4 linked regions of the Diceros bicornis minor genome follow. The protein of the gene in region 4 purifies or fractionates together with the protein of the main gene of each other region. This does not show direct contact. Links are inferred from orthologs where the notes say so. Each region holds a gene or a part of one and is shown on either strand. Other genes may lie near its edges. The genes, in order: HNRNPUL1, DDX5, HNRNPM and HNRNPH1.

What was found.
Region 1: the proteins of HNRNPH1 (region 4) and HNRNPUL1 fractionate together in Homo sapiens (co-fractionation; 3 studies listed by BioGRID and IntAct, with this or other methods). This does not show direct contact. The link is inferred for Diceros bicornis minor from reciprocal best matches to the Homo sapiens genes HNRNPH1 and HNRNPUL1.
Region 2: the proteins of HNRNPH1 (region 4) and DDX5 purify together in Homo sapiens (affinity purification with mass spectrometry; 4 studies listed by BioGRID and IntAct, with this or other methods). This does not show direct contact. The link is inferred for Diceros bicornis minor from reciprocal best matches to the Homo sapiens genes HNRNPH1 and DDX5.
Region 3: the proteins of HNRNPH1 (region 4) and HNRNPM purify together in Homo sapiens (affinity purification with mass spectrometry; 3 studies listed by BioGRID and IntAct, with this or other methods). This does not show direct contact. The link is inferred for Diceros bicornis minor from reciprocal best matches to the Homo sapiens genes HNRNPH1 and HNRNPM.

The regions. Positions count from the first base shown.
Region 1 is NC_080773.1:15,284,375-15,291,277, reverse strand, and holds the start of HNRNPUL1 (heterogeneous nuclear ribonucleoprotein U-like protein 1), read right to left. Parts: upstream 3,009-6,903; 5' UTR 2,725-3,008; coding exon 2,430-2,724; intron 630-2,429; exon of another isoform or gene 566-629; intron 545-565; exon of another isoform or gene 1-544.
Region 2 is NC_080757.1:47,202,505-47,210,123, forward strand, and holds the start of DDX5 (probable ATP-dependent RNA helicase DDX5), read right to left. Parts: upstream 3,009-7,619; 5' UTR 2,847-3,008; coding exon 2,803-2,846; intron 1,604-2,802; coding exon 1,438-1,603; intron 1,083-1,437; coding exon 986-1,082; intron 889-985; coding exon 755-888; intron 638-754; coding exon 572-637; intron 312-571; coding exon 170-311; intron 85-169; coding exon 1-84. Other genes in the region: CEP95 (centrosomal protein of 95 kDa), read left to right, coding at 3,861-3,879, 5,326-5,454, 6,599-6,706. UniProt on the Homo sapiens protein: Involved in the alternative regulation of pre-mRNA splicing; its RNA helicase activity is necessary for increasing tau exon 10 inclusion and occurs in a RBM4-dependent manner. Binds to the tau pre-mRNA in the stem-loop region downstream of exon 10.
Region 3 is NW_026691615.1:283,841-291,372, forward strand, and holds the start of HNRNPM (heterogeneous nuclear ribonucleoprotein M), read right to left. Parts: upstream 3,014-7,532; 5' UTR 2,993-3,013; coding exon 2,880-2,992; intron 1-2,879. Other genes in the region: E3 ubiquitin-protein ligase MARCHF2, read right to left, coding at 6,615-6,773. UniProt on the Homo sapiens protein: Pre-mRNA binding protein in vivo, binds avidly to poly(G) and poly(U) RNA homopolymers in vitro. Involved in splicing.
Region 4 is NC_080740.1:92,600,647-92,607,885, forward strand, and holds the start of HNRNPH1 (heterogeneous nuclear ribonucleoprotein H), read right to left. Parts: upstream 3,014-7,239; 5' UTR 2,995-3,013; intron 2,513-2,994; 5' UTR 2,484-2,512; coding exon 2,387-2,483; intron 1,133-2,386; coding exon 977-1,132; intron 766-976; coding exon 622-765; intron 1-621. UniProt on the Homo sapiens protein: This protein is a component of the heterogeneous nuclear ribonucleoprotein (hnRNP) complexes which provide the substrate for the processing events that pre-mRNAs undergo before becoming functional, translatable mRNAs in the cytoplasm.

The sequences.
Region 1 (6,903 bases), on a different chromosome or scaffold from region 4:
CCTACTAGTGGCTGTGCCAGGACCAGTGAGGGAGAACCACAGGGAAGGAGAGACTATTCTGCCACTTGCTAACTGACTGGATCCTTTCTCACAGGACAAATACATCTGGGCACAAACCAGGTGCAGCCCAAAGGGAGGAAAGTAACAGATCACGTGGTTTGCTACAGGTCTGTTTACCAGAGCTGAAAGAAGGGTTGGAGGGGGGCATGAACGGGGCTCAAAGGACTTTGCTGTAGAGGGTAGGAGAGAGATGAAGAAATAGAATATCTCCTTAATTGGAACACGGGGGGCCCTTTCAAACCATTCTGTTTCCTCCAGGCTCCAAGCACAGTGCTCTTCTTCCCATAGAGCCTCATATCTCTCTTCTTGAGAATCTCTCCTGTGCCCACTGAGGCAGCTTCGTCCAGAGAAGCTATGATTCTGGGGTCCTTCTCCACTCTCTAAAACATCCATCTCCTAATAACAGGCAGACCCAGTGCTAAGCCCCTTACACATGCGATCTCATTCACAACAATCCTGGGGGCATTAGTCTCCGTATTTTACACACAAGGAAACCAGGGCTCACCGAGTTCTGAAGTGACTTGTCCAAGTCATGGAGTCATATTTGAAACAAAAATTTGTCTGAGTCTAGAGCCTGTGCTCTGGAGCACCTAACTCGCTTTCCTAGACACCTCCAGCCATTGGCCCTTTTTCCTAGGCATTCTTGCCAGGGTGTCTCCTGCCTTAGACATGCACGCTGGGCCACTCCTCTTTCCTTCACAGGTCTCTGCATAGGAAGTACTCTTTCCAGCACCTGGGTCCTGGACAAGCCCTAGGCTGCTCTCCACCCTAAATCTACACTCAGGTTGCTCCCCTCCCGGAGATCTCATCTCTCTCGAACAAGTAAGTACTCAACGCCCACTCCAAATCATGTCTCTTCCCTGACCCCCTTGTTCTCATTCCCTTAGCCCCATGGCCCAGGGTGCCCTCTTTTCAGAGAAATACCAGAAATCCTGGACGCCAGTATCCTTTCTACTTACTCCTTACTCTCCCCAGTCCCCATTCCCTAGTCCTGCTAGGAAGCCACCCTTTTCTAACTCCAGATTTACTCCCACCCATACCACGGTCTCCTCTCTTCAGACTATCACAGATCTATCCTACTCCCTCTCATTTCAAGTCCTACCTTCTGGCTGATGCAGAGACTCCCTGCTACCCTCTGAGGTCTCCCCATCCCTGGGCACACAAATAACTGCCTCTGGGAACCAAGGAGCCCTCTCATGGAGACACCCAGCCCCAGAAACACTCCCCGGACTCCACCCAGAGGCCCCCAGACAAATCAACAGGTTCTTTCTCCTTACACATTCTACATTCTCCCCTCCCCCCCTCCCCCATATTTGCTAGACCAGCTACACACTCCTGTGCTAGACACAAGGATCCTCCGTCCCCCAGATACTCCATCGACTTCAAACTCCACCAACCATCTGTCCCGCTCCACTCCTAGCTACCTCTGTTCTCCAAACAACCTGTACTGTTAATCCAAGATCATTCAGCAGTAGCCCCTGAGTTATCTGTCCTGAGAGCCTTCCCAGCTGTAGTCCTCTAGGTCCCTTGTCCAGTGAAGCATCCTTCCCTCCCCTGCCAGCCTCCGGACACCAAGATTCCCTACGCTTCCTCTGGAAGTCAACCAGAAGGTCCCAAGATTTCCCAGCACCAAATGCCCAAGCTGCCCCTGCCTCAAGGTTGGCCTGCCAGCCCTGGATCTCACACTCCTACAGGCCATCCTCAGACAGATGTGGGTCTCCCATAGTCCAATCATACGGTGGTGTCCCACATCCCCTACACACTTATCAGCCAAACAGAGCACCCAGTCCATCAGACCCTCCCCGGCCAGACACTAGCACCCCCATTTCATCAACCTATTCCAGTACCAAATTTGAGAATTCCCAGTACCTCATCCAGCAGCAAACTCCAGGATCCTCCATCCTCAAAACTCTCCTAGTTCTGGACACCTGGTCATTCCTTCCCGAGCACTAAAACGAGGCTCCTAACGCCCAACCCACTCGCCAGGCTAGCACAGCCCCCAAACCCCTAGGATCCCCATTTCCAAGATCCTTCTCAGCCCCTGAATAGAAAATTTCTTGTTCTTCCGACTCTCTCTGGCCCCAGAAACGACGGCTTCCGGTCCCCGAGCCCCAGGCTCTACACCCCCCAGACCGTCCTCCTCTCCGAAACCAGGAGCCCCCACTCCACTATCTCCTTTGCACCAAATGCCAGGATCCACCCTCCGGTCGTCCCGAGGCCCTGGTCCCCAGATCCTTTTCAGCGGCGGGTGGCGGGATCCCCCAATCCTCAGACCGTCTCCCCGACCTCGGGCGCCGGACTCCCGCGTCCCACAGCCCTTTCTCGGCCCGGACTCTGGGCTCCCCGGCCCCCGCCCCGCGCACTCTCACAATGTCCGTCCGGCCCCGAGTAGCCGCCAGGCTCCGGGTGCGGCTGCAGCCCGGGCGGCGGTGGCTGCGCGGTCCCCTCCAGCTCGGAGCCCCCCTCGGTCTCGACCTCCTCGTTGTTGTGCCCGGGTCGCCCCGGTTCGTCGTCGGCCTCGAGCTCCCGCTCGTCGTCGGGCTCCTCGGCCTCCAGCGCCGCCTGCAGCCGCTCAGCAAGCTCGGCCTTGAGGCCGCGAGTGTCCAGGCCGCGGCGCTGCAGCTCCTCGCGAAGTTCGTTCACCTTCAGACGGCGCACATCCATGGCCCGGGCCCCCGGGGCGGCCCCCGAGCCCGGCCCGGCCTTCCAGGGCTCTGTCCCCCTTAAACCTTTCCTGTCAGTAGGCGAAGGGGGAAGGGGGGGGCCCCCCACTCCAATGGCGGCGGCGGCTCAAAATGGCCGCCGCCGCCGCCTCCCCCTCCTCTGTTGCCCCGTGCGATGCAACACGGGTGCCAATTGGTCACCTCGTGAGGGCAGCGGGCGCGGGCCTGGAGATTCAGCCAATTAGAGCGCGGCTTTCAAAAGAACGGCAAAGAAAGGGCTCAAGAGCTGCCGGGGAGGAAGCGTTGGCCTACGTTGATGCCGCGGCCGGAGCGGAGGGCGGGAAAAGGAGGGAGGCGGAGCGCGCGGTGATTGGGTAGCGCCGGCGCGCTCTCTCTCGTAGGGTCAAATGAGGGAAAGGGAGTAAAGACTTGGGCCAATCAGCGACGAGATCTCAGAATGAGCGCCCTCACGGCCTTTCCTGCGCGGTCCTTTCATCAAACTAGTGTCTCTGTAACACATATCCTGATTGGTCTAGATCTCCCGCCCCTAGAGGCGTCCAAGCGGGTAAAACCACTAGAACCAATCAAATGGAGGGTCGGCAGACCCTCCCCCCCCTTCACTATTGCCTTTAAAAACCGGAAAGAGATGAATTCACGAAGGACCTACCCTTTGCCGTTAGGGCGGTTTCAAAACAATCTGCCCACCAATCGCAGTTATTGTTTTATCTCACTAAAGCTAGTACGGTTGGATCGCTTTAGGAAAAGCTAACCAGATTGGCCATTTTTCAGCGGACGGCCTCACAAATCTCGCTGTAGAAGGAGGTATACGAAATAGAGATTAAGTGGATTAATTATTCTTAGCCTGGAAAAAACTCAGTTGTCTTAATGAAAAGCAACCCTTTGACTTCAGAGAGTCCTGCAGGTTTGAAAATAGAGGCTAGTCTAACAACGGGAGAAAAGTTGTAAAGGAAATGGCACCCTCTCCCCTTTGATAGTACATCTCACAGGGCGCCTCTTTCCCCGATCTGAGCTTCGCTGCCCTCTCTCTCTATGGTTGGGATCTTACGTGGAATGGGCGCTCTGCACGCGACCATAGAGCCGTCCCCCCCGGAAAGACCTCCAGAGGTTCGCGGGTCTCTACCCCAAATCCTCTAGACGCCTGTTCAGTGGACGTGGCTGTTTGGCGTCTCTACTGACAAGCTCAAACACACAGGTCCGTAGTTACGCCTCACGCTGCTAAATACAAACGCCACACAGCGTTTCACAATGTCTAACGCTGCACCACCTGTCGCCTCTAACTGAAAAGACTCAAAACTTCTGTAAGATGCACAATCGAGACACACAATGCAAACGCCCGCTGCGCATTGAGCCATACCTTCAGCCCACAAAAGCCACACACGACCTCTATTTAGACAAAGGCACACACAACACAGATAAACAAATGGCCGTGAGTCAGATCAGATGCATCAATTCAAGGGGTAATACACCAAACTGCAGTGTAGATGTGCCCACTAAGGTCCGCACACGCAGGCGGCATCTAAAGATAAAGACACACAGGACAGTTACACAAGCTTACACTACGGCAACCTATACACCCAGCACCCACTCAGAAGCGGGACAGACACTCACGTGGGCCCAGAGGTTTCAGTCCAGACACCCCGCCCCACGCCCACGTCCGACTTCCTCTCTACCCCCAGCTTCCCAGAATGATTTGTTCTAAAAAAGTTTGTGGCCCGGATTGAACTGTTCTCGGTTCTCAGGAGCCGCCACCGGGGGGCGTCCGGGCGCTGCCAAGGGTTCCTCCATCTGCTCTGGACACACCCAGGAACGTGTGCCCGCGATGCGTGCAAAACACAGGGGACTTGTCTTGGCAGGAGTCCCTTTATGGGCTGGTGATTATCGGAGGTGTTCTGTGCCTGTGTTTCTATGTGAATCTGAACGTTTGGGTCTGTGAGTACCTGTTGTACTTTATATGTCTCTGAGTATTTGTGTCACTTTACTCTTTGTGTGTCTGTATCTGTGTTACTCTAGTTTCTCCCTATTCCTGGGGAGTATCTGCCTGTGCATATGTTTATAAATATGTTTGTATCTGTGTAATTTTGTGTGTCTCTGTTACTCATGTGTCTGAATTTCAGTGTCTTTGTATTTGTGACCAGGTGTGCCTGAGTATGTCCACTAATTCATGTATCTGTTACTTTGTGGGGAGGAGTGTCTCTGTGTGACCTCGTGAGTATCTCTGTGCCTATTCCTTGCCAGGGGTTTCAGAGAGTCTGCATTTCTTTGCTTGCGTGTCTTTTTGTCTATGTGTATGTTCATCTCTACCCTCTTTAGTGAGGGGAGAACTCCTAGACCCCACCAAACTCTTCTTTTTACTGAAGGGGAAACTGAGTTGCCAGGGAGGGAGGCCACATGACAGCTGAGTGGAGACGAGAGGAGACGGAAGTGTGGTTACAAAGTTTTATGTGATCTGGGCCCCTCTGGAGGCGCCAGCGTCCACACTCAGTACAGGGGCATGAGAGACTGGCTCAGGGGGGCAGCATGGCCCAAGAGGAGGAAGATTGTCCCCTGGGGAAAGGAGACATTCCTAATGCATTGCACAGGCTTGAGGGGGCACACCCCCACATGAAGGGAGGAGGAAGCAGAGGTGGCTAAGAAGGGGAAGGTCACACAGAAGAATATAAGGCTAGAACCTTGGAATCGTCCCTTGGAATTCTATGCCTGTAGACCTGTAGAATCTTACAACATTTGAATCTTAACACTACAGTGTCTAGAATCTTAAGATTTAGAACTGTGGATCTTAGACCCATAACTAAAATCCTAGAAAGGCAGAATGCAGCATAGAACCTAAAGATGTCCAGCATTAGAAATGATAAGAGGGCTGGCCCCGTGGCTTAGCGGTTAAGTGCGCACGCTCCGCTACTGGTGGCCCGGGTTTGGATCCCGGGCACGCACGGACGCACTGCTTCTCCGGCCATGCTGAGGCCACGTCCCACACACAGCAACTAGAAGGATGTGCAACTATGACATACAACTACCTACTGGGGCTTTGGGGAGAAAAAAGGAGGAGGATTGGCAATAGATGTTAGCTCAGAGCTGGTCTTCCTCAGCAAAAAGAGGAGGATTAGCATGGATGTTAGCTCAGGGCTGATCTTCCTCAAAAAAAAAAAGAAAGAAAGAAATGGTAAGAACTTTGGTATCTAGTTAGTCACAATTAACTGCAGAGACTTATACCTCAGATGCTGAAGATCCAGAATCTTGGACCAATAGAGTCTAAAGTGTCTTGGAACATAGAACAGACCAACATTAGAATCTTAGAGTTTAATAATCTAGAATCTTGAAGCATATGATCTAGAATCTCAGACACAGAGAATCTAGGTTCTTAGGCTAAGTCTTAGAACATCACATCTTAGAACATGAGACCTTAGAAACTCCATCTTTAGACTCTTAGAACTTTTGAATTGCAGATTCTAGAATCTTAGACCTTTAGGATCCAGAATCTCCTAACAAGAGTTTCAAGGATCATAATGCCTTAGACCTATAGTTGGCCATCATTAGAATCTTAGAACTTGAGAAGATAAAATCTTGAAGGCTTATGATCTAGTCTTACAGCCAGAAGATTTACACTCTAAGAGGCTTAGAATATCAAATTTTAGAACATTAGGCCTTAGAACCTCCATGTCTAGAATTGTAGAATTTTTAGAATTGTAGAATCTAGAATCTTACACCCTAAGGATTCAGAACCCTAGAAAAATAAAATCTAGAATCTTAGAGTCTTAGATCCTAGAATTAGAATCTTAGAGCTTTAGAACCTAAAATCTTGTGGGCTTTATCAAGAATCTTTGAACCAGAAAAATCTAGAGCCATAGAATCTCAGAGCCTTAGAATATAGGCCTTAGGACTTCTATGTCTAGAACCTTAGCACTTTAGAATTAGAGACTTTGGAATTTCAGGTCCTTAGAACCAAAGACTTATAGCATCTTTGAAACCTAGAACCTTTGAGTCTAGACTCTTTAAACCTTAGAATCTAGAATCTTGGAATGTTAGACCTAGGAGGACCCTTAGGGGTTGCAGTCCAACCCCTTCCTTTTACACATGGGGACACAAAGGCATGGAAAAGGGGGAGGATCTATCTGGGATGGAAGTGGAATAGGTAGGAAGAGAGAGCTGCAGTTGAGGGTAA
Region 2 (7,619 bases), on a different chromosome or scaffold from region 4:
GGTAGGTGGTTCTTCTCAGATTGGTTTTCCCACACTCTAAAAAGTCAATCAGTCTTCCAGGTGTTGCAATACAGATTTCCACACCTTCAATTAAACACATAAATGTAACCAAGACATCCAAAACTTTTAGCAACATCAGTAATGAAGAGAACCTTTTTTGTTTACATGCCTCTCTCCAAATCACGTATCTGTGGTCCCTTGGGAGCACCACCATAGATGCAAGTGGACTTCAAGCGACATGCTCTACAGTATTCAGCAGCTACTTGCTGTACCTGTTGGGCCAGTTCCCGAGTTGGTGCCAGCACCAAGCACTAAGGAAAGAGGAACAGAAAGCAGAAGAGCTTTTACCAGAGACCTGAATCCCAGTTTTCAACTGCTAATTTATCAGTTTACAGTGGCATATTATTTTGCTGTCCAATACCCTAAAATGCTTTGTCTCCAGTCAACTCGAGTAGGATAACTAGAGTCTCCCCACAAAACCACCACAAATTATGTCTTTTGCTATATAGTCTATAAAATCTCTAAATTACACTTCTAGCCAAAAATTAAGAGAAAATACATATATACTTACAATAGGCCCATCACCTCTCTCTAGGAATGGCTGATGATTGATGTGGACTATGGCAGGCAGCAAATACTATTCAGAGGAGAGCAGACAACAAGGTACCATTAATATACTTCTGGTTTCTTTGTATGCCCAATCCATGTTCTCTAGACCCATCACAGAGTAACTCAAAAGTTCTCCCAAACTTACAGACAATGTTTTTCCAGATCCAGTCTGTGCCACTCCAACCATATCCAATCCACTTAGAGCAACTGGCCATCCCTGAGCTTGAATAGCAGTGGGTTCAGTAAAGTTCTGCCTTGCAATAACATCCATAACGTTTGCTGTAATTAGCAATAGCAACTTAGTAAAAATTAGTAGGGCCAAGAGAAAGGGGGGAATTAAAAAAAAAAAAGGAGAAGAAACAAAAGTAGCACTTACCAGGAAAGTTTGCTTCATAAAAATTCAGAACTGGCTTTGGGCAATTGTGACCTCTAACCGTAATTTCCTTGCTTCTTCTATATGTATCCACCTCTTGCTACAACACAAATTACAATAATCTAGTGTGTGTCATGATAACCGCCTCTAACACAATCAGTAGGCCCCTAAATTTATAATTGATTAGCTACATTAATGTTGCCATTTTAAATCTGGATCCACATATGAAAACCCTATATAGCCCAAGAACCCCATATCGTGTTACACTCAACCATTCTAAGTAGAAAAACTCAAAGCCAACTGTTTCCAAAAAGTAACACCTCTTCCCCAACTACCAAGTCAAAAAGCAGTAATTTCTCAAAACTTGGTCATTTGCTAGACCTTTCTGGTCCGACTTCCATTTACTATAAGTTGTTACTGAGTTACAGCCTAGTGGGGCCAACGAAATTACTCACTGCTGTGCGCCTAGCCAAATCAGGGTGTTCTTGATAAAAATTCTTCTCAAATTTGGGCAGCTCATCAAGGTTCCACTTCTTTTTAACTAGTTTCTCCCCAGGGTTTCCAAACTTCTTTCCAGATAGGGGCCCTGCCCTACTTCCTCCAAATCGAGGTGCCCCAAACCTGAAATTAAAAAAGAGTTACATTTTCAAACGCCTACACAGGGCTTTACATATAGACAGACTTACTAACCCTTGGCACACACTCAAGATCAATTAAAGACTTTTGGAGGTTTAAGATCTAGCTCTAGCCTTAATGATGGTCATTCTCCCAAACCCACAATCAGCATCCTATCTATCTCATTTCCCGTGGTCCCAAGTACACACTACTGAAGCTAAGTCAACAGCCCGGGATTTATCAGGTCGGAAATACACTGCCCAAACGCCAGAAGTTCAGACTACAAGTACAGACAACAGCTTGTGGCTACCAGTCTTTCCCACAAGCTTATGAATTAAATATCTGGGAGAGAAACAATACAAGAAAGGAGAAGCTTAACAGCTACGTTATTTCTCAGCTGTTTCAAGCACAGCAACTTTGGTTTTAAGTGGATAACGGGACAGTACAGGCAGCCAGAGCATTACAATGAGGGTTCTCCAGGACGCTGAAGCCAGTGGAGTTGGGGGATCCCGCGGAAAGGCCCCGGAGCAAGGTAGCAAAATTACATAACGCGAAAAAAAGAGGAGGAGGAGCTGGCGACTACCAGGGGAGGAGTCCCGACCCAGGCGGAGTCGGCCGGGCGGCGTTCCCGCTGGGGCGGCGCTTCCCCCTTTGTCTCGCATTTCTCTCTGCGCCACATTTTCTCGACGCTGCCATTTTGAGCTCCTCCGCCGGGCGGGGTAACAAAGGCGCCGCCGCCATGTCCGACGCCGGCATTTTGTACCCGCGGCTCAGCCACATGGCCGATTCCCGCGGCGCCGGCCACCCCCCTGCCCCCGCGGAGGCTTCAGAGGCGGCTCCCTTGGCTCCCGCTGAATCCTGGGGGCCCCTAAAACACCTCCGGAAAGCTTGCACCTAGAAGCGGCGACTCCGTCCGCCTCGAAGCGTCGCGCTCGCCTGCCCTAGAAATACGCTCCTCCGCATTCTCCCAACAGCGGCTAAATCGCCGAGGCCCTGATGGCCCCCGCAAACAAAGGGCGAGCTCGAGGGCCGTTAACAGGCGAATCTCTTCTAGTCACTTTTGGACAAATATCAAACATTCCATTGAAGAGGCCCATGGGTGGGCTGAAAAAGACAAGTTCCCACCCTCTCCACCGCCCGCCGCGACCCTTATCGGCCTCCCATCCCCCACCCGCCGGGCCTGACAGGTCAGTTCTCACACTTACCCTCGATCCCGGCCGCGGTCTCGGTCACTCGAATAACCCGACATGGCGTCAATGGTTGCGGTTGGCGGGGAACGAAGTGGAGAGAAACGGGTGCGACGAGTCGCTGGAGCTGGCTTCGACGACGGCGAAGCCTTGCGGGGGCGGCAGAAGCAGAGGGACAGCGATGACTGGAGCAAGAAGTGCTCCACAAGAGACTGGTGGAAATGAATGAGGTGCCGGCCGCGTCCCGGCAGCCGGTTTTATAGCCTGGACCGCCTCCTCCGCCGCACAGAATGCTGGGAGCCGCTCTATGACCTAATCACCCCGCCCCTGCGCTGAGGCCGCAACGCCCGCCGGCGTTCCGGAATCCGCCGTGTTCTCGCCCCTCCCCCCAGGCCCCTCCCTCAGAGTCGCCCGTTTTTCGCCCCTTTTATGGCTGGGCCCACCCACCACTGGGAGGCCCTAGCTTGCACGCTCTTGACTCCACCCTTTTCTCGTCTGTCTACACCTTAAGGAAGCCACCCTGCCCTTTTCCTGGTCCGGCCCAAGGGATAAAATGGTCAGCCCACTTGGAAATGTTTACGTCTCCAAAGAGCCTTCACGGCCATAACCAAACGAGAAGGCGTGAAGGCGGAGCCTGGCATTGTCACGTGGCTGCCCCCCCATCCGGTGAGTGGACCGCACTACTTCCCCAGTTGGCATCAGCGGAAGAATACAAAACGAAATAGCTCACCGGAAGTGCCGTGCTAAAGCCCCTGAGAGACCGGCCAGGGCTGCTGGGTGACCTGGGCTGTCAAACCCACCCACCGGAGAATCCCTTAGCAGGATCTTGTCGCGGAGAATGGTACCTCGACTCCGCAAACCGCCGCCCCGGCGCGTGCTACGAAAGGAAGTGCTCCTCTGATGACCAATCAGCAGTGAGAGGCCGTTTTAACGTCCCTCCCTCCTTCACCCCTCCTTCGCTGCGCTTTCGTTTCGTTCCGCCTCTTCTCAGCACTGTGTGTGCCCCTTGCGGCCCTTCCAGGACACCGTCCACCGCGCGCCCGGCCAGGAGTCTGGTGCCGACCTGCCTCCGCGACATGGCCGGGTCGGAGACTGGTGAGTCTCGCCTTGGAGCCGTGGTATGTGTGGACTGAAGCTGTCCAAATCCCTGAACGGCCCTGCCCATTTTATCTTGAGGCCTCGAGCCGGCTTCAACTAGGACTGGGCTGCCGCCGGGGCTGGTGACACACCCGGTCGTAGACGGTGGGCTCTCTGGATAGGGTCTCCTAACCCCATTCCCTGTCCGCTTCGAGGCCACCGAGCGCGATTTTGGGGCGGGGGAGAGGAGGCCCTGCGGCGAGGACCGTAGCACGCCGGTATCCTGGTGCAAAAGGGCGGTCAGCAAGTGTTTTTTTCGGGACTCTAGCCCTTGTCGGTGTGCTCTTTGCTCCTCGCTGTGGGAACTCAGGTCGTACCTGCCGTCTGTATTGAATTTCTGAGGAATGGCACTCTTAAGATCTGTTGATGCCCCTGCCAAAGTAGAATAGTGGTGGATTTTTCTCTTCAGTGCCCTCTAGAGTTACCGGCTTTGTCTAGCACCACTTGAAAAACGAGTTGATTTGGTTGTCTAGGACGCTTTCATCCTTTTCTCCAGGACAGCCTTCAAACCAGTTGTCATGGTTTGGTCAGCTTTGAGGGATGGACACGGAGAGAGGGAGATAATGTGCCTTGAAGACACATACACACATTTATTTCTAGGACATACTGAAGATATCGAATACGGAATAAAAGAACTTTCCCCTTAATCGCCAGTCATTTCAGGGAACAAATGTTTCAAGCTTTCTAAATTACCTTTGGTCGAAAAACCCTTGAAATAACTTGCCTAATCCCAACAGTATCTGGGGGTGGGGTGGGGTGGTAGGCAGGAAAGTTCAACAGTATTGGTAATGTACTAGTTCTGAATTTAGGGACATTTTATATATTTCCCATATTTTCGTTCATATGCATTAAATATAATTTTAAAAACCAACAAGTGTAGTAGTGTTGGCATCACTACTCCAGTTCTTAACAGCCCCTTTTTGGACACCAGAGAAATTCTGACTTGCACAAGATAATTGGGTAAAAACGTGACTAATGCTATTGGGAATTTGAAGCAACATCCATTAATTAGTTTCTAGTAATCTCAGATTATCATTAACTGTCTTGTTTATGACAGTATTCCCATTTACTTGTAAATATATTTTACATAAAAACACCTATGTATGGCTTGTAAAATAGGAACTACAATAAGTAACTTAAAATTTTCAATTGCAACAGTGAAAGCTGGATTCACATCGTAGTTTTGGCTACATTGAAATTCTGGCACTCTGGAAATCATCCCAAGAAATTAAATACATCTTTTCAAAAATCATGCCTAGGAGGGTCTTTGAAATTTTATAACAATCAAATCCCTTATCTTCTACAGAGTTCAGTGTCTGTTTTTGTGGGGCTTGTTTTTTTTTAATGTATGTATATGACTCTTTCTAGTGCTATTTAAGGTTGGTCTTTTCCCTTTCCCAACAGAGTGGGTAACCATTGCCAATAACCTTCTTTTGAAATGTCACATACATCTGAGGATACACGAACTAGAAGATTGTGATGCTAATGTTTTTATTGCTCTTTATCAATCCATTTTGGGAGAAAAGGTGCCAGGTAAGGGTACTAAAAAGTGAGAGTAATATTGTCTGTATCTTAGGCCGCAAGTTTCTAGTGCTGTTAGTTAGATCCTATGGTGTTTATAAAATCTTGAGTTTTCTCTTTGTCTGCTTCTTATTTTTATCTAAATATTGCATTCATTACCTTAATGACTGCCTAGGAGACCCACCTGTAATAACAGCCTTGGTCATCGCTGTTTAATTATGCCTAATGCCTTGTGAAAGTCATACCTTTTCCATCAATCTACCTTCAAAGGTTCTAAAATTGAGTGGAACTTTGAAACTTGTTGGGTCCTGTTGCTTAAGCAATATTATGGATAAGAATTGTTGTTTGTTACCCTGGTTAAATACCTCAGAGTCCTTATCCATAAATTCCTCTCTTGCCTCTGTTTCTTTCATAGTTGATAACCATTAAGTATTATAAGCTCTGTATAGTCTCTCTTCCTTTCCCCCTGTTACCGTGAGTCAGTGCCCTCATCACCTCTTGGAATAATGGGATGGTCTCTACCTGGTATCTTTCATGCTAGTCTCAACCGTCTTTAGAGTTCAGAGGCATGTAGTTATTAGACTAGTCCTTTAAAATACTTTTTTCATCCTACCCCAAAACATTCATCTTCCTCAATACCAGAGGAGAAACTCCAAATTTAAGTTGATATTAAAATCTTTCTGCACTTTGGTCCATACTGACCTTTTAATCCTTTGTACCAATAATTCCCAATAGGCTGCTTTAACACGACATGCAAGAATTCTACTTTCACACCTGTTGTGGGTTTTTTTCTCTCATGGAAAGCAGCCCATGGTTATGGGTTAAAGTGTCACCACATGTATTGCCCCCTTATTAGAATATTAGCATCGCCTTGAATTTAGGGACCTCTCTATCTTCCTTTAGCATGGTGCTCATTGTAGAGCACGTTCATATATATTTTGGTTGAATAAATATTCAGTCAATAATTATTCAACCAGTAAAGATTCTGCTGTGTGGAATTCAGGCTCTGTTAACTTTATTTGTACTTTATAGCCTGTTCTGTTTGGGCAGAGCTTAGTTTTGTAGCAGTGGAGCTTACTCACAAGCCTGGTCAGAGACAGATAGGTGAAAACTTGGCCCCTCATAGATGCAAAATTATGTGGCTTTTTTCCCACAGACCTCATAGCTATTCCTAGGAGTCAAGAGGATGACGCTCACAATGTACAAGCAGTAATTGATTCATTGGCCTTGGATTACCTGCAGGTCAGCTTGTCTCATATAACAGGTTGGTATATACTTAGCTATCAGATAATTTTGCATTTTACTTAAAATAATTTGTTAGGTAGAATCCCAGACATTGTTTAATTAACAAATGAGTAATCTTATGAAATAGACTAACCAGCAAGACTGAGCCAAGACAGTTGACTGGTGTAGTTAAGTCAGCCATCCTTGAGAGCTTTTCCAGAAGAGTCAGACATTGAGTTTGTGATGGCTCTGGGTCTGAGATGTAAGTATCCTAGCTGGTAATTTGAGGTATGTTTTGTTGTTCTTCTATTATTTTAAAGCTACCATCCTGCTTGTTTGTAGTAGCTAAAAATTAGAAATACCTAAATGTCCATTATTAGGGACAGGTTAAATAAATTATGATAGCTCATTACAGGGAACTACTCTGCAGCTGTGAAAGATGATTGATGATGCTCCTTAGGTACAATGTTTCACGTTAGTGGAACAATCTCCACTATATATTGTGTGAGAAAAATGTGGTGCACTTACAATGATAATGTGCAGAGTATGCTACTATTCCTAAAAACAAAGGTAGGGAGAATATATATGCAGTTGATTGCATACAGAAGAACTCGTTAGAAGCATATGCAAGAAACCTGTAATACTGAATGCCTCCAATAAGGGGAACTTCAGGTTTGCAGAACAAGGGTTGGATGAGACTTTTTGTTGTATACCTTTTGCCCCTTTTCAATTTTGAACTGTGTGAATATATTACCTATTCAAAATAAAACTGTAAATTGTTTTGAATCTTTTTCCAAAACAAAGTGTACCATGCTTGTATTCTAAAGCCAAACGTCCCAAGTATATTTATAAGTCCCTATATTTATAGATAGAAAATGAGGATTATTCCAGTAAATTATTTCAAGCTAATGAACAGAGGGAATCTTGGGGACTTGAAACTATACTTAAATCAT
Region 3 (7,532 bases), on a different chromosome or scaffold from region 4:
CAAATCATTGCAAAGCACAGAGATTCTGATTTAAATAAAACACTTCAAGTGACTGTTTAGTGAGAGGTTACCAGGGTGGCAGTGGAGTCAACACAGCCTCCCCCAGACTCTGGGTCAATTTCCTTAACCTGACTTTTCTCAATTGTTTAAAAAAAAAATTTCTCAGTTATAAAACAGAGTTAACACTAACATTACCTCCCCGGCAACCTACACTAAATATAAATTTTTATTTTTAAACTAACTAATCCATCTCTGTTTTCTGATTCAGCCACAAGATTAGTTTGGAAGTAGGTTACATCACTGATTTTAAGTATATGGTTCAACCTTTAAAAAAAAAAAAAAATCAAACCTGAAACTATATATTCCCCAGAATGAATGCTTTTTCTCCCTGACTAAATATACTCTAACTCTGAATCTTGACTGACTTTAAATGGAACAGATTTCTCATCAAAATAAAACAAATCCTCCTCTCACACCCCGGAGAAAAGTCACTGCAAAACAAGCTTCCTCTCTGGGGTCCTCCATCAAGCCTGCAGGCTCACTGCCTTTTCAGCTTACAGCACACTCCACTCCTGGTGGAGACAAAGGTCAGAAGAACCAAGTTTCACTCACTTTCCATCCCTCAGAGGCTTTCAAGATAAAAATCTAAATTCCTCAGCCTGGAATCCACTGCCCACCAGCCGGCCCCCGGCCCCCACTGTTTCAGCGTTGGCCCTCACTGTTCCAGCGTTAAGTGCTACAGCAGCATCAGTTCTCTATAAATATGCAAAGCATATACCAAAGTCCCTAGTCGTGGGCAGCTCTCTTCTCCCCTCTCCACAATCATCCTCTTTCATCCCCCTCCTCCTGAAGAAACCCCCTCTTCCCCACCCTGCCCCCAGGGGGTTCAGTTGTGGGGAGGGGAGCTGCTCCCTACCAGGTAACTCCTTTACTTCTATCACAGCATAATTACCTCACTACAAAATTATCAGCTGGCCTCTCCTCTGGGCATGGGCTTGATTCTCAAGAGCTTCCTAATGCAAAAAAAAAAAAAATACACAAAGTTTCCACCGACCCTATGAAATACATCTAAGTGTTGCTAGCTTCCTGAAAGAACTTCTGTTAAGCAGCCCTAGACTCTAAGGTTCTTTCCAACAAGAGCTATTTTATCTCTAAAACCTTCAGGTTCTTTCTAACGGTCCACGTGTCACATTTGTCAAATAAACCCGTCACAAAATGACTATTTGAAAATGGACAGTGGAAAATGGGAAATTTGAAAAACATACCCCAGATGCTACAAACTATAGCTAATTCAACTTCTCACCTAGCACGTTTTAGCAGCACTCCATCCTGTGATAACTGCTTTGAAAGAAAAAATACAGGAAATAAATGTAACTTAAAGGCATCCAAAAACGGCCCTCAGAAATCCTCCTAGGCTCCCCTAGACAGATGATGAAAAAAGTCTAAACGAAGGCATCCTTTTCCAGAGTTTTCGAGAGTCAAGTGCTGGGAATACTTCTGGGATGCCATTCTTTTGATTTCCGAGGACCAGGAATCATGGTATTTTGTTCCTCCCCACCTAAGGAGAGAAGGTTTGACAACAACACAGCTAGTCACCTAGCGAAAGCTCGGTAACATAAAGCGCTTTAACTACATTCACTTCTAATCCCCACAAACTCTAGGGATGCACATTAGAAATTTGTGGGAAAGCATATTCATAAGAGACATAACGAATAACAGAAGTATCCAGGAGCTGGTGACAGGGGGAAATCGGAAGTTACTGTTTAATGGCTGCAGTCTGAGATGATGAAAAAGTTCTGGACATGGACAGGGGTGATGGTCGCACAACACTGAACGCACTTAATGCCGCTGAACCGTACCCTTAAAAATGGTTTTAAAACTGTAAATGTTATGTTCCACATACGTTACCACAATTAAAAAAAAAAAATTAGTGGGAAATCACGTGTGCCCAGCCTCCCCCTCTCCTCCCCCCACGGGTGCCGGTGGGAGCCCAAACGTCCCTCCGCATCTTCCTTCCAGGTGACTGTCATCAGAACGAGTGCGGACACAAGACGATGCTCTAAAGCTTTGAGGACACTTGAACAGCCAAGGAGCAGAGACGGAGGCCCAAGCAAGGCTCGAAATGGTGACGGAGCCTGGAAGTGGGCGAGCCCGCCTGAGGATGGAAAATCTCCCCCGGGAACACGGAAAATGCTGTTTCTCTGCTTTTTTTCTCCTCCTCTTTGTTTGGGGGAGCGCAGGTCCGATCCCTGCACAGACACCTCCCGCGCACCTGGGGAGCCGGCGGGGGCCTCGCGCGCGGCCCCGGCGTGGAGCGGTTCCGGCCGGGCCGGGCGGGGCGGGGGAGGGGAGGGGACGCGGGGGCGCTCCGGCCGGCCTCGCGGTCCTGCCCGGCTCCCACCCGCCTCCGCCGCCGTTTACCGGGCCGAGCACGCGCGAGGCCCCGCGCGCGCCCTCGCTTCCCTTCCCTTCCCCCCAGTTTACGGGGCGGGAAACTGAGGCCCCGGGCGATACGGGGGGCGGGGGGTGAAACCACGCGCCCAAGGTCACCCGACAGGCCAGCGGCCCGGGGCGTCGGGCCTCTCCGGCTCCGGGGCCCGTGCCATCAGCCCCGAGCGCAGAGGCCGGGCCCGAGGCCTCGGCGTGGGGCTCGGACCCGGCCTGGAGGGACCCGCGGAGCTGGGCCAGGGCCGAGGAGGACGGAGGGAGCGAGCCTTGCGGCGCCCCCGGGCCCCTCGGCGGCCCCGGCCGCCCCCACCCCGGGCAGGCCCCGCGGGAAAGGCCCGGGCTGAGGCCGCGCCGGGGGGAGGCCTCCAACAGACCTAACGGCGCCGCCGCGAAGGCGGCCGGCCCGGGACGCGGAGCCGTGGGATACTCACCCCTTCGGGCCCGGAGCCCCGTTGCCGCTCGGCACGCCGGGCGCGCCGCTCTCCTCCTCCATTTTGGGCTCTGTCGCCGCCACCTCGGCCGCCGCTTCGACCCCTGCCGCCATTTTCTCCGCGTCTGGGCTTTGTGTGAGGGAGCCGGCTGCGCAGCACTGCGCCTGCGCACTCACGTGACCCGGCGCGACCAGTAACGCCTGCGCGCGCCGCGGCCTGCTCCCGCCTGGTCCCCGCCCGCCCCGGGCCACGCCCCCGTCGCGCGCAGGCGCAGACCGGCCGCTGTTATCCATTCATCCCCGCAACAAACTCGTGTTGGGCGCCTTCTGAATACTCCACCGGTTCTTGAGGTTTGGCACGGGAAGGATCTACTGACCCCACACCCGGACCTCGTCACTCCCAGTTTTCGGTAATCAGAGCTGCGGCAGAGGGGCAGAAAGTTCTGTTTACTAAGAATATAAAGGAGTTAGCCAGGCAGGAGGGCAGGACGCGGACGGGCCAGGCAGTGGAACTGGTGTGCAAAATTCTGTCTCTCTAAGCAAGTATCCTGCACCAGGAATATCTGGGCTCTGTCCGACCTGGCTCCCCACCACCCCGGGACCTCCTGGGTGCAGATCCCATGGCCTCTGAACCCATCAACCAACAAGCAAAACGCATCGCTGGGGTCTTGGTATGCGCTCACGGATGTTTCTTGAGTGAATGAAGCAGCAAGATCCAAACACGATGGAAGAAACGAGCTACAGGCCAACTGATCCCATTAAAACTTAACTGGGCCTCCTTCCTGCCTGATCCTGGCTGGGTCCCTTTGCCTAAGGGCTTGGCTCTGTCCCCAGACTGGTTTTAAGGACTGTTACAGGCTGTGTCCTGGGGCAGCCACGTGGCCTGGAAAGAGGCCAGAGCCCAGGGGCGCGTTCTGAGGCCTCAGGCTCCCTTCCCCAGCAGCAGCCCCTCTCTCTGATGTCTCTGGAACTTTGAAATGCTTCACCGAATCTTGCAGAAGTTCCCATCTAACCACCAAACTCGCTCTAGGCTTACAAAGGGAAAGAGGTACCCCCCCCCCACCCCTCAAAGAATGACTACATTTCATCAGGCTCTGGGGGAATATTCACCACACTCTCCCAGCTGCTTCATTCTGCCTGGTGATTCTGACCCAGGGTTGAGAACTCCAGGCCCAGAGAATAAATCCATCCCGTAGTCCAGCCTGACATGAAGGCTGTGCCCCACCCTCTTTCCAGCTCCGTTCCCACATTTCCAGCTCTTCCCAAACTCACCTGCCTCCCAGAATTCCCTTCTCTCGCCCATCGTCAAGCCCCTCCCTCCTCCCATGCCCCCTCCTGAAATCTCTGTTAAAATCGCCCTTGCATACCTATTAAAATCTTCTCCCATGGCCCCAATGGAATCTGTCTCAGTTTACCTTCCTCCCCGTTAGACCTCTCCTAGACTGGAGGGGCCCTGAGGCAGAAGGAGCCTCATGAACTTCTGAATTCCCTCGCCCAGCAGGGCTCAGAAGTGGCGGAAGAGGCCACGGCAGTCTGTCAGAATCAGGGAGGAGTCCCAATGCAAAGCGTTAGGGACAAGAAGCCACCTCTCTCTCTGATCCCTCCTCCCTCGGTGGGTGTGACAGGAGGTCAGGGACAATCAGGCCCTGGTTGTGGAGACCAACTCTTCCAGGCTAGGCTCCTACAGGCTGGTTGACTTAAACCAACAGTGCCCAGATCCTGGGTTCTGCTATCTCTTGAACTGTTATTTCCTTCACACTTCACATTTTCCTTTAACTGACACACCTTCTTATCCTTTAAAGACGCATGTTTTAATATTGTGTTTTACATTGCATGTAAATATATGCAAATATATGTAAATTGAGTATATGAAAACTTGCTATAAACAGCTAACTGTAAAAAATAAATAAGAAGATGATGCTATTCAAGTGTGAATTCAGTTGTGCATGCTGCCAAAGGCTCTGAGCCTGAGGCTTGTTCTCTCCTCCCTTAGGTTAAGGGTCATTTAAGACAGTCTAGCCCAACCTACAACTTTCTCCTTGATGTAATTGAAAGTATTAGAAGAGATTTGCAAAGGAAACAGCTCTTTTCACAATGGCATGTCCTGGGGCCTCTTTGCATCACCTCCAGGGGCACCACAATCCAAAATTGGCCTGAGAGAGGTGGGTGCTGGGCCTGTGTAGAGAGAGAAGATGCAGATGCCAGAAGGGCCCCTGAGCGCCAGCAGAGCGATTGCGCTTGGATAAGGTCCTGGGTTTCTGCAGACCCCAGATGCCTACAAAGCCCTGCTCGTCTTTCTAACTGCCTCTCTCCTGCCCCTCAGTCTCGCTGCTCCAGCAATCACGTCTGCCACACTGCTCCTCCTACAGGCCACACAAGTTCCAGCCTCCAGGCCTGTGCCCTTTACTGTTCCCTCCATTCCCGTGGCCAGGCTGGCTGCCTCTGGCCCTTCTACGCTGGGGTGGAAAGGGTTTTTTTACTCCGTGGGTGAACCACATACCAGACAGGGCTTCATGCTGAAAACAATAGAACATTCCAGACACTGTGCTAGGTCCGTCAGGGAGGTGTGATCTTGGGTGAGCGACCCCACTGCTCTGAGCCTCAGTTTGCTTATGTGCAAATGGGATTAATAAGAGAAGTCCAGAACCCACCTTTCAGGGCTGCTCTGAGTATGAAATGCGGCCCAATGCAGAGAACCCTTCCACGTGAAAAGCTCAGAAAGTGCTCAAGAAGTACATGTGGTTATTAGCACAACCATATTCTGCTGCTTTTCCTGAGTCCTCCTGGAAGGCAAGCTTAGAGCTCAGCACTAGGCCCACGAAGACCCAAGGTCAACCCCAACTCTCCTTCCTAGAGCTGTGCAACCTTAGACAGAGGCTTCCTTGCTCTGGGCCCCAGTCTTCTCATCCGTAAAATGGAGGCAGCAGCCATTCCTCCCCTCAAGGATGGTCTAAAAGGCAGAGAGAGGATGCCTGTGCAGGCTCAGAACTGAGGAACCCTCGAGAAGTGTGGACGTTAGTGATTAGTAAGTACACCAGCGTGGCATCTGGAGATGCAAAGTAAGTGGAAACTGTTCTCCTTATGCATAGCGATTTTAAACCATTTATTATATAACCCTGCTACCTGCTTTTCACTTGAAAACTCAGACTTTGCTTCTTCCGGTGTGTTTCATAACAGATCCCTCAAAACCAGCAGAGGGCCTCTGTTGTTGTTTTTTTCACCTGTTTGTGGTCCCCGGCTGCCCTGGGGTCCCAGGTCCCTCACTTGAGGCCTTGGTTCAGAAACGTAACTGACAAGTCCGTTTTGTCCAGCAAGGGCTCCTTTTATTCATTCGGGGTGGGTTTTTGAAACACGGTGCAACTTGATGAAGTCAAGGGTGCCGGGAAAGCGAGCCTGCCAGGTGTGGAGAAGCGCAAGAAGCTTGTGGAACCTTCCGGCCCGATGGACACCCTCGGCTCGCCCATGGCCACAGCTGCTGGCCCCGGAGGGGCCGAGTGGACCTCAGAATGAGATCAGGGTGCCTGATCCGTCCGAAGCTCAGGACCACGTCCACCTCCTCGGGTACAACCGTGTGCAAAACAGTCTGAAAGTATCTTCACACGGGATCACAGAATCGGCTCTGCTCGGTGTCTCTTGGCCTAAAAAGCGTTCTGGCCGTGCAGGAAGAGTCGGGCAGTTTCCGTCCCTCCAAACGCCAGGGCATCGCCAGCTGCCGCTGGCCCTGCCAGCCTGGCCTTCACACAGGCGTCTCCTCTGCCACCTTCTTCAGGAGTCCGGCTGCCAGCAGGGAGGGCTGGGGGCCCTCGGGGCCATCCACATCCTGGATCTTCAGGCGCACTTTCTGGTTGGTCCTTCTCCACTCGGAGTACAGTTGGCAATGGTAGCGGAAGGAGACCTGCGGGGCAGCAGCACAGGGGTGGGTGCGAAGGCCAGCCGGCCGACCTCCACCCCCAAGAGAGGAAAACTGGGCCCCTGGATGCTTCCAGAAGCAGAGCCAACGTCCAGGCCCTTCTCATACAGACTGTGCACACGCACCCATCACTGTCCTGGGGCAGCTCCCACCAGCACTCGGGGCCCTGCAAAGGTGAGGGGGTCTACAGCAGGGAGCAAGGGACCCCCTTTCTGTCTCTCAGAGGGCGGGAGTGAAGCAACGCAGCCCCTCAGAAGGGGCTCATTGTCAATGGGTCACATCATTGCCAATACGTGGAAGCCACCAAGATGTCCTTCAGTCGGCGAATGGATAAATAAACTGAGGGACACCCAGACAGTGGAATATTAGTCAGTGCTAAGGAGAAATGAGCTCTCAAGCCATGAAAAGGCATGGAGGAAGCTTAAATGCATATCACTAAGTGAAAGAAGCTGCTCTGAAAAGGCTACGTAATGGATGATTCCAACCCTGTGACATTCTGGAAAAGGCAGAACTATGGAGACAGTAAAAAAATTGGTGGCTGCCAGGGGCTGGGGGAGGGAGGGATAAATAGGCAGAGAGCCAAAGATTTTTAGTACAGTGAAACCGCTCTGTATGATACTATAATGGTGGACACATGTCATTACACACTTGTCCAAACCCATAGAATGTACAGCACCAAGAATGACCCCTCATGTCAACTGTGGACTCTGGGTGATGATGACGTGTCCATGTAGGTTCATTAGT
Region 4 (7,239 bases):
GTAATATTCTGCTAAACATGCAATTTTATCAGTTCTTCAGCATAAAAACATTCAAATACTTTAGGCCCAGAACAATTTCAAAACACTTTCTGTATTTCAGATACTGAGACTACATTCCACCTACTCTTACATTAGACTGACTTTTAGTTAAGTTTATAATTCCCTGGCTAACTAAACTAGTTGCTTCCATAAATAGTTTTTTTTGCATCAGAGACAATTCTAGTCCCATGACCCAATGTGTCTTACGACATAGACACTTGGGAGAAATCACAATCTAACTCATGCTAATCTAATGTGAAGGGATCTTACCTTTAACTTGAAGTACTTTGCTGAACAGCATTGTGAGGAAAGGAGTTAAGCTGTTGAGGACAATCCTCAAAGATCTACTCTGCACTATAATACTAAATACAGGCAAAGTTAGCATTTTGGAAGTACTTAATTTCCACCTTTAAGATGGGCTTAAATTATTTGAAGGTCTCCAGGAAGAAAAAACATTAATTCACCTGCATATACTCACAACCTGTTTTAATATCTGAGCTGCTAAACTTTAAGGTCTATTAAATCACACGTTGCCAGAAGCTAGCCAGAATTCGCTGCTCAGCAACAAACACGACTACATACCTGAGAAGAACTGAACAATTTCTTCCTTGCTACATCCAAAGGGGAGTCCTCTAAGCCGTACAAAGCCATCATTGGCCGTGTCAGGACTATTTGGACCAGTATGCTTCAACACCCAATCCATTTCAACGTTGTTTGACTTGAATACTGAAAGAGGTGCTTAGAATTAGTCAATTTTGGAAAGTTAGAGAACAAAGTTCAGATTTCCTGGGTCTTTAGATAATCTAGGAAGAGCTGCCATAAACTCCCTTAGATGACCATTTCCATGCGGTCAAATACCTAAAATTCAGAAGGGGTAAGATAGATCTCTCTGTGTTTAATGTTTTATTTACTGTTACTAGGGCAACGTAAATCAAACCTTCAACATATCTGTGTCCCATAGTTTCTCTGTCTTTTTTCAGGGCCAATTTGACTTCATCTTCTGATTCAAGTTCAACAAAAGCCTCGCCACTCGGTCTGCCTTCTCTGGTGTAGATGAAACGAATACCTTGAGCCCCATTTTGAATTTTGCAGTCTGGAAAGAAAACAACCGTTAATACAGAATTTAAAACTTAAAACCACCTCTGGGTGATACAGATGAACTGCCTCCTCATGCCCCTACTACAAAGTAGATCATCTGTGAAGCCTAAAATGACCAAATTATTACCAACTTCTAGGATGTCTCTGTCCAGTAATTAAGCAGTTATCCTCTCTCCATCAAACTTTTATTTCCTAGATGATATATTCCCAATCCATCAAAAAAATCCAATATTTAAAGCAGTTTCTAATGAAGTTATCTCTAAGTCCTCACTACCCAAGTGTCTCCCATTCAACATTTTTAACTGGTCAGCAAATTGTCTGGACTTGGTTATTTTGTGGCATTTCCTGAATATACTTAGTTGCAACTTTTCGTCTGCGGCATTTGACCGTTTTACCTTACTAGCAACATGATAGTTTCTTTCTAATCCAAATCGCACTGCCAATACTCACCTGAAAAGGGATCAATGTTACCAAGCTAAAATGCTCCAAGTTGCACAGCTGAAGCCAGACCCAGTCCTGCCCACTGCAAGGCGGCTTCCAGTGTACTTGGTTCTCGTTTTACAGGTCGTTTTCCGTAACCCACGCTAAATTCAGACAGTAAGTCAATACTACAAGTGTCCTTCCAAAACCCGGAAATTTCTTCCATCTTCCAAATATCTTTATCAGTCTAATCTTACACTAATGAGAACAAGGACGTTTTGGTAAAAATTATTCAGGATACTAGAAAAAACTAGATAGGCAAACTTCCCTGGGCTTCCGTGTCCTCAAATGTAAAGTGAGCCAGATCAAGAACTAGATGAGCAAGAACTCTTCAATTACTAAATCTTGATTAGGAAAATTGTCTGAAATTAAGAAGTGACATTTTAACTTTCCGAAGCAGAATGCCCCTTTTCGACAACATACTTTGAAAACTAGAAAGTATACGTTCTATCTTTTAAGACTTTGCAAAACATCACTATTACGCGCGCAGCTACTGGGCAATTCTCTCAAGATTGAGGAGGAAATCCCATCTATCCTTTGGAAAACACATTTACAGGAGGACTAGTGCTCGAGAGTAGGGAAACAAAACAGCCCGCCGGAGAGGCCACGCTCTCCCGAGGGCGGGGGGGCTTTCACAATTTCCATTGCGTAACGGCGGCCGGCGGGATCAGCGGTCGCCCGCCCCGCCAGGGGGCGCCCCGTCCGCCCCGCCAGGACGCCGGCCGCCCGCTGCCCCGGCCGCCAACTCCCGCCTCCGCTCCAAACTCACCAGAGAAGAACCGCTGCACTTCGTCGGCCGAGCAAGACCAGGGCAAGCCCCGCACCTTCACCACGAAGCCCTCTCCGCCCTCGGTGCCCAACATCATCGTCTCCGGCGGGTGCTGGCGTCGACAGACTGCGGGGCGGGACGAGGTCAGCCCGGGAAGCGCTCAAACCAACTGCCCTCCGCCCCAGTGGCGCCCGCTGCCCCGGCGCCTCAAGAAGAGCCGAGCCCGTGCGCACGCCCCAACCCCGGCGACTCTGCCCCCCAACACCCCGCGGCCGGCGACCGGGCCCCCGAGGCCGCTGTGGGCACCAAGCGCCGGCGCCCCGAACCGAGGAGTCCCCGGCCGGGCGCCAGAGTGGAGATGAGGAAATGGCGGCGGCCGCTTCCGCTCCGCCTCCTCCGACGCCTCACACAATAGAGGCGGCGGGGCCTGCAGGCCTCGGCCGCCCTGCGCGGCTCGGCGAGCCGCTCCCGGCTCCCAGGGGCAGCCTGCACCTCGCCACGGCCCCCCAGGCTCTACAGAAGTCTAGGGACACGCACTCCTCGCGAAAACGGCATCCTCGAGGGCCCCCGGGGGGGGGGGGGGCGAACACGGAGCGACACACACTCACCCAGACAAACGACTTCAGCGTGGCTGAGAAGAAATGGCCAGCGAGCGCCTGCGCAACCTAAATAAGGCCCTTCGAACAAGTTCTGCGCACGCGCAGCCAGAGGCCCGCACCGCCCGCTTGCGTCACACAGACATAGAGCGCATGCGTAATTTCATGAGCAAGCTCACCTCCAGCCAGCAAGTTATTGTGCGCATGCGTCTTGAGCTCAGCCCCTCCCACCTCCTTACACCCGCCGGGCTTTTTTGCGCCTGCGCCTTGTCGCGATTATTGAACTTCGAGCCTTGGCGGTTTAGACAGTCATTTAGTTTCATGCGCATGCGTCTTCCTTCAAGCGGTTCTCGCCCTACCCGCCACAGTGGGGGAGGGGAATGGCGGCAGTCAGTTCCCTATGGGGACAGTGTGATAGTCCCGGGCTCTGGGTCGTGGCGAGGGGGCCGTCTTCCTACCCCTACCCGCAGCCTATTATCAGCGCTCTTGGCCGACCTGAAAGGACAGGCTCCCCGCCCTCGCGCCACCTGTACCCCCTTTCTCCCTAGAGCCCGGCGATGACCACCGGGCCTCTCTTGGGGCTGCGGGGCCGCGCAGGCCTGTGCCTCCACCTTCCCGTTACCTGCCGCCGTCGGGCCTGGGCCCGGCCCGCGCGGGGTCCCCGTGCTCTGACTCAGTCCCGCACCCCGCCTTCGCCCTAAGGAACTCGCCCCCCACGACCCCGCCGCCCGCCCCAGGGTCGTGGGCCCTGACGCCGCGGGGCGCTCCTAGAGAGCGGGGACCGGATGTCGACTGCCGCGCGCGGGGGGAGCGCGAGCGAGCCGTCGGCGCGCGCCGGCTCTTTCCGGCTTCGTTCCCCCAAGACTAAGTAGGTACCGTTACATCCATTTCCCGGGTGGAGACGCTGGGAGGTGACCCAGGGTCGCCGCGTGTGCGCATATTGCACGAGACGAGCGATGGTCTCGATTTCCAGGTGCGGGAAATTGGAACAATGCCCGCAGCCCCTCAGGTCTCCCCTTCTCTGATCCTGCCAGTCCTTCCCACCTCAGGCCCGGTGGACACAGGCAGTAAACACATTAAAGATAAGGCAGTGTTGGACGTTAGTGAAGGCCTCTCTGAGTGCCACCACGGGAAGATGCGGACAAAGCATGTTCCCTCCCAAGCACAATGGTCTGGAGGCCAAATCCGGTTTTGACAGGTGTGAGAAAACAGAGACGACATCAGTGAAATAAAGGGGGAGGGTGATCCAAGATAGGATCCCAGAGCTAGGCAAGGCCTGATCTTGAAATGACCTTGAAATGCCATTTAGGCCTTGGCAAGGGTGTTAACTCCCGGTGCACGGGAAGGCATTGGCAGGTCTTCAGCAGAGAGCGAGAGGAGCTGTTTGTAAAGGAAAACGCAGTTGCTGGGAGTGAGGGGGACACAGATGGAACAGGCAGGGTGAAGGACGCTGCCTGCCCTCAACTGCAAACGGAGCTGGAGGAAATGGAAGGCCTTTTGACTGATGTCACCAAAATGTGGACTCCCAAGTCTTCCAAACAGGAGGTCTGTCTCTGGGTGATTCAAAACCAAGGAGAGGGGCCTGCCCCATGGCACAGCGGTTAAGTGTGCGCGCTCCGCTGCCGCGGCCTGGGGTTCGCAGGTTCGGATCCCTCGCGCACATGACGCACCGCTTGTCAAGCCGTGCTGTGGTGGCATCCCATATAAAGTAGAAGAAGATGGGCACGGGTGTTAGCCTAGGGCCAATCTTCCTCAGCAAAAAGAGGAGGATTGGCATCAGATGGTAGCTCAGGACTGATCTTCCTCACAAAAAAAAAAAAAGGGAAAGAAAAAGCAAGGAGAACACTTTTTGCTCTTGGATACTCTCTTTCCAGGACATCACCAAGACACCTCCTGGTGTGTCTTCTTAATAGGTGACAGCATTTGAGAGTTCTGGTCTTATTAAATGACCTAAGAACACTAGTTTCTGATTATATGAGGGAAAAACCCTGATCCCCTTGGTAGTGCATAAAAAATCATATTTTTACCTTTTGTAACAACAAGGCCACATTTCTAAAGTGTTTATTTTTCCTAATTTTTTTCTAAAGTTTTCTCGGATTTTCTTCCTTAATAAGAGTAAATGTCATGTATAATCATCATAGAAAGATTAGATCATATCCTTAGGATAGATTTCTAGAAGTAAAATTATTCAATGGGAGGTCTGAGTATTTTTAGGACTACTAATAAAAAAAGGTTATGGCACTTGACAACCCTCTCTGTGGTGTGTGAGTGTTCCATATCCCCTTGTTTTGCTGACACTGAAAATTTCCTTTCCTTTAATCTCTGCTAATTTAATACTGAGAAGACTCGTATCTCTAATTTGCATCTGTTTATTACTAGCAAGGTAAAGTAAATTTTATACACTTATAGCCAATTCCCTCTTATATAAACTGTCAGTTTGACTTCTTTCTCCAGTGATCTTTGGTTTTTATTAAAGCTATTAACCCTTGGCCATAGTTGCCCCAAATGTTTTTGTTTGCTTGCCTTTTAATTGTTGTTGTTGTTATTGGTTTTTATGTTTAGACATACAGAAGTTTTTTGTTGTTTTGCTGAGGAAGATTTGCCCAGTTGCCAGTCTTCCTCTGTTTTGTATGTGAGCTGCCGCCACAGCATGGCCACTGATAGATGAATGGTGTAGGTCCGAGCTGAGGAGCCTAACCTGGGCCAATGAAGTGGAGCATGCTGAACTTAACCACTAGGCCAGCAGGCCTGGCCCCAGAAGTTTTTAATTTTGATGAAGCCATGGGTGCTTTCCTCTGAGTCTGTCTTTAAGCTCAGAAAACCCTTCCCTATACAGAGATAAAGCACATATTTATTCATTATCTTTTTTATCAATTCTAAAACACACATTTTCTCACAGTTTAACCTCTCTAAAATAGCAATATGTCTTAAAAACCAATGGCATATCATAGTTTAATTGGCAGCATTTTTTTCTTAGTGGTACACAAATAATGGTGTGTCTTAAGATTGATGATACCTTAGACTTGATGGAAACTGTTATAGTCTACTTTTTTCTTTAATTTTTTTGATGACAGATTACAGCCATTAAAATTATGTTTTATAGATTTTTTTTAAATGGTGTGAAGAAATGTTTGTGATATAATGGTTTGTGGGGAAAAAAGCAGAATACAAAATTAAAAAGTGGTATATCAACCATGTAAAACTCTGTCAATGTTATATTAAAGCACTGTAGCCCCAGCACAGAAAGAAACAGCTCAGTGGGACAAAATCTAGAAACAGGTCCAAGGTGTATTTGGGAATTCAGCATTCAATGAGGTGATATGTCACATCAGAATGAAAAGAATTTTCTAAAAATGGTGTTAAATCCAATGACTAGAAATTTGGGAAAAAATAGTATTCACACTATACATCAAAATAAACTCTAAATAGATTAGAAAGATTTATGGGCCGGCGCCATGGCTTAGCGGTTAAGTGCGTGCGCTCCGATGCTGGCGGCCCAGGTTCAATCCCGGACGCGCACCGACGCACCGCTTCTCCGGCCACGCTGAGGCCGGGTCCCACATACAGCAACTAGAAAGATGTGCAGCTATGATGTACAACTATCTACTGGGGCTTTGGGGGAAAAAATAAATAAATAAAATTAAAAAAAAGATTTAAACTTGAAGTATGTAAAGCTAAAGGTACTAAAATAAAATGTATGTGTTTATAAATTTTTGAGATGAGGAAGGCATTTCTAAGTGTGAAATCAAAGACATAACCACAAAGGGAAAGACTGGTACATTGGCTACAGAAAAATAATTTTTAAAATTCTGTATTGAATAAAGCGAGAGAATTGAAAGACAAATAAATTGACAATTTGCAACACATTTGAAACACAAAGAATGTATGTGTGTGCATGCACACAGTGTGTGAAATATATACACACGTAAATATATACATATGTACATAAATAGACAGGAAATGTTCACTCTGTCCTAGTGTGTTACATACAGTATCTCATCTAAATAACCCAATGGGAGATATGTACTATTATTATCCCCATTTTACAAATAGGCAAACTGTAGCTTAAAGAGAGATTAGAGAAATTTGCTCCTGCTGCACAGCTGGTAAACAGTGGAATGGGGATTTTTTTTTTTTTTTTTGTGAGGAAGATCAGCCCTGAGCTAACATCCATGCCAATCCTCCTCTTTTTGCCAAGGAAGACGGGCCCTGAGTTAACATCTGTAGCGATCTTCCTCCACTTTATGTGGGACGCCA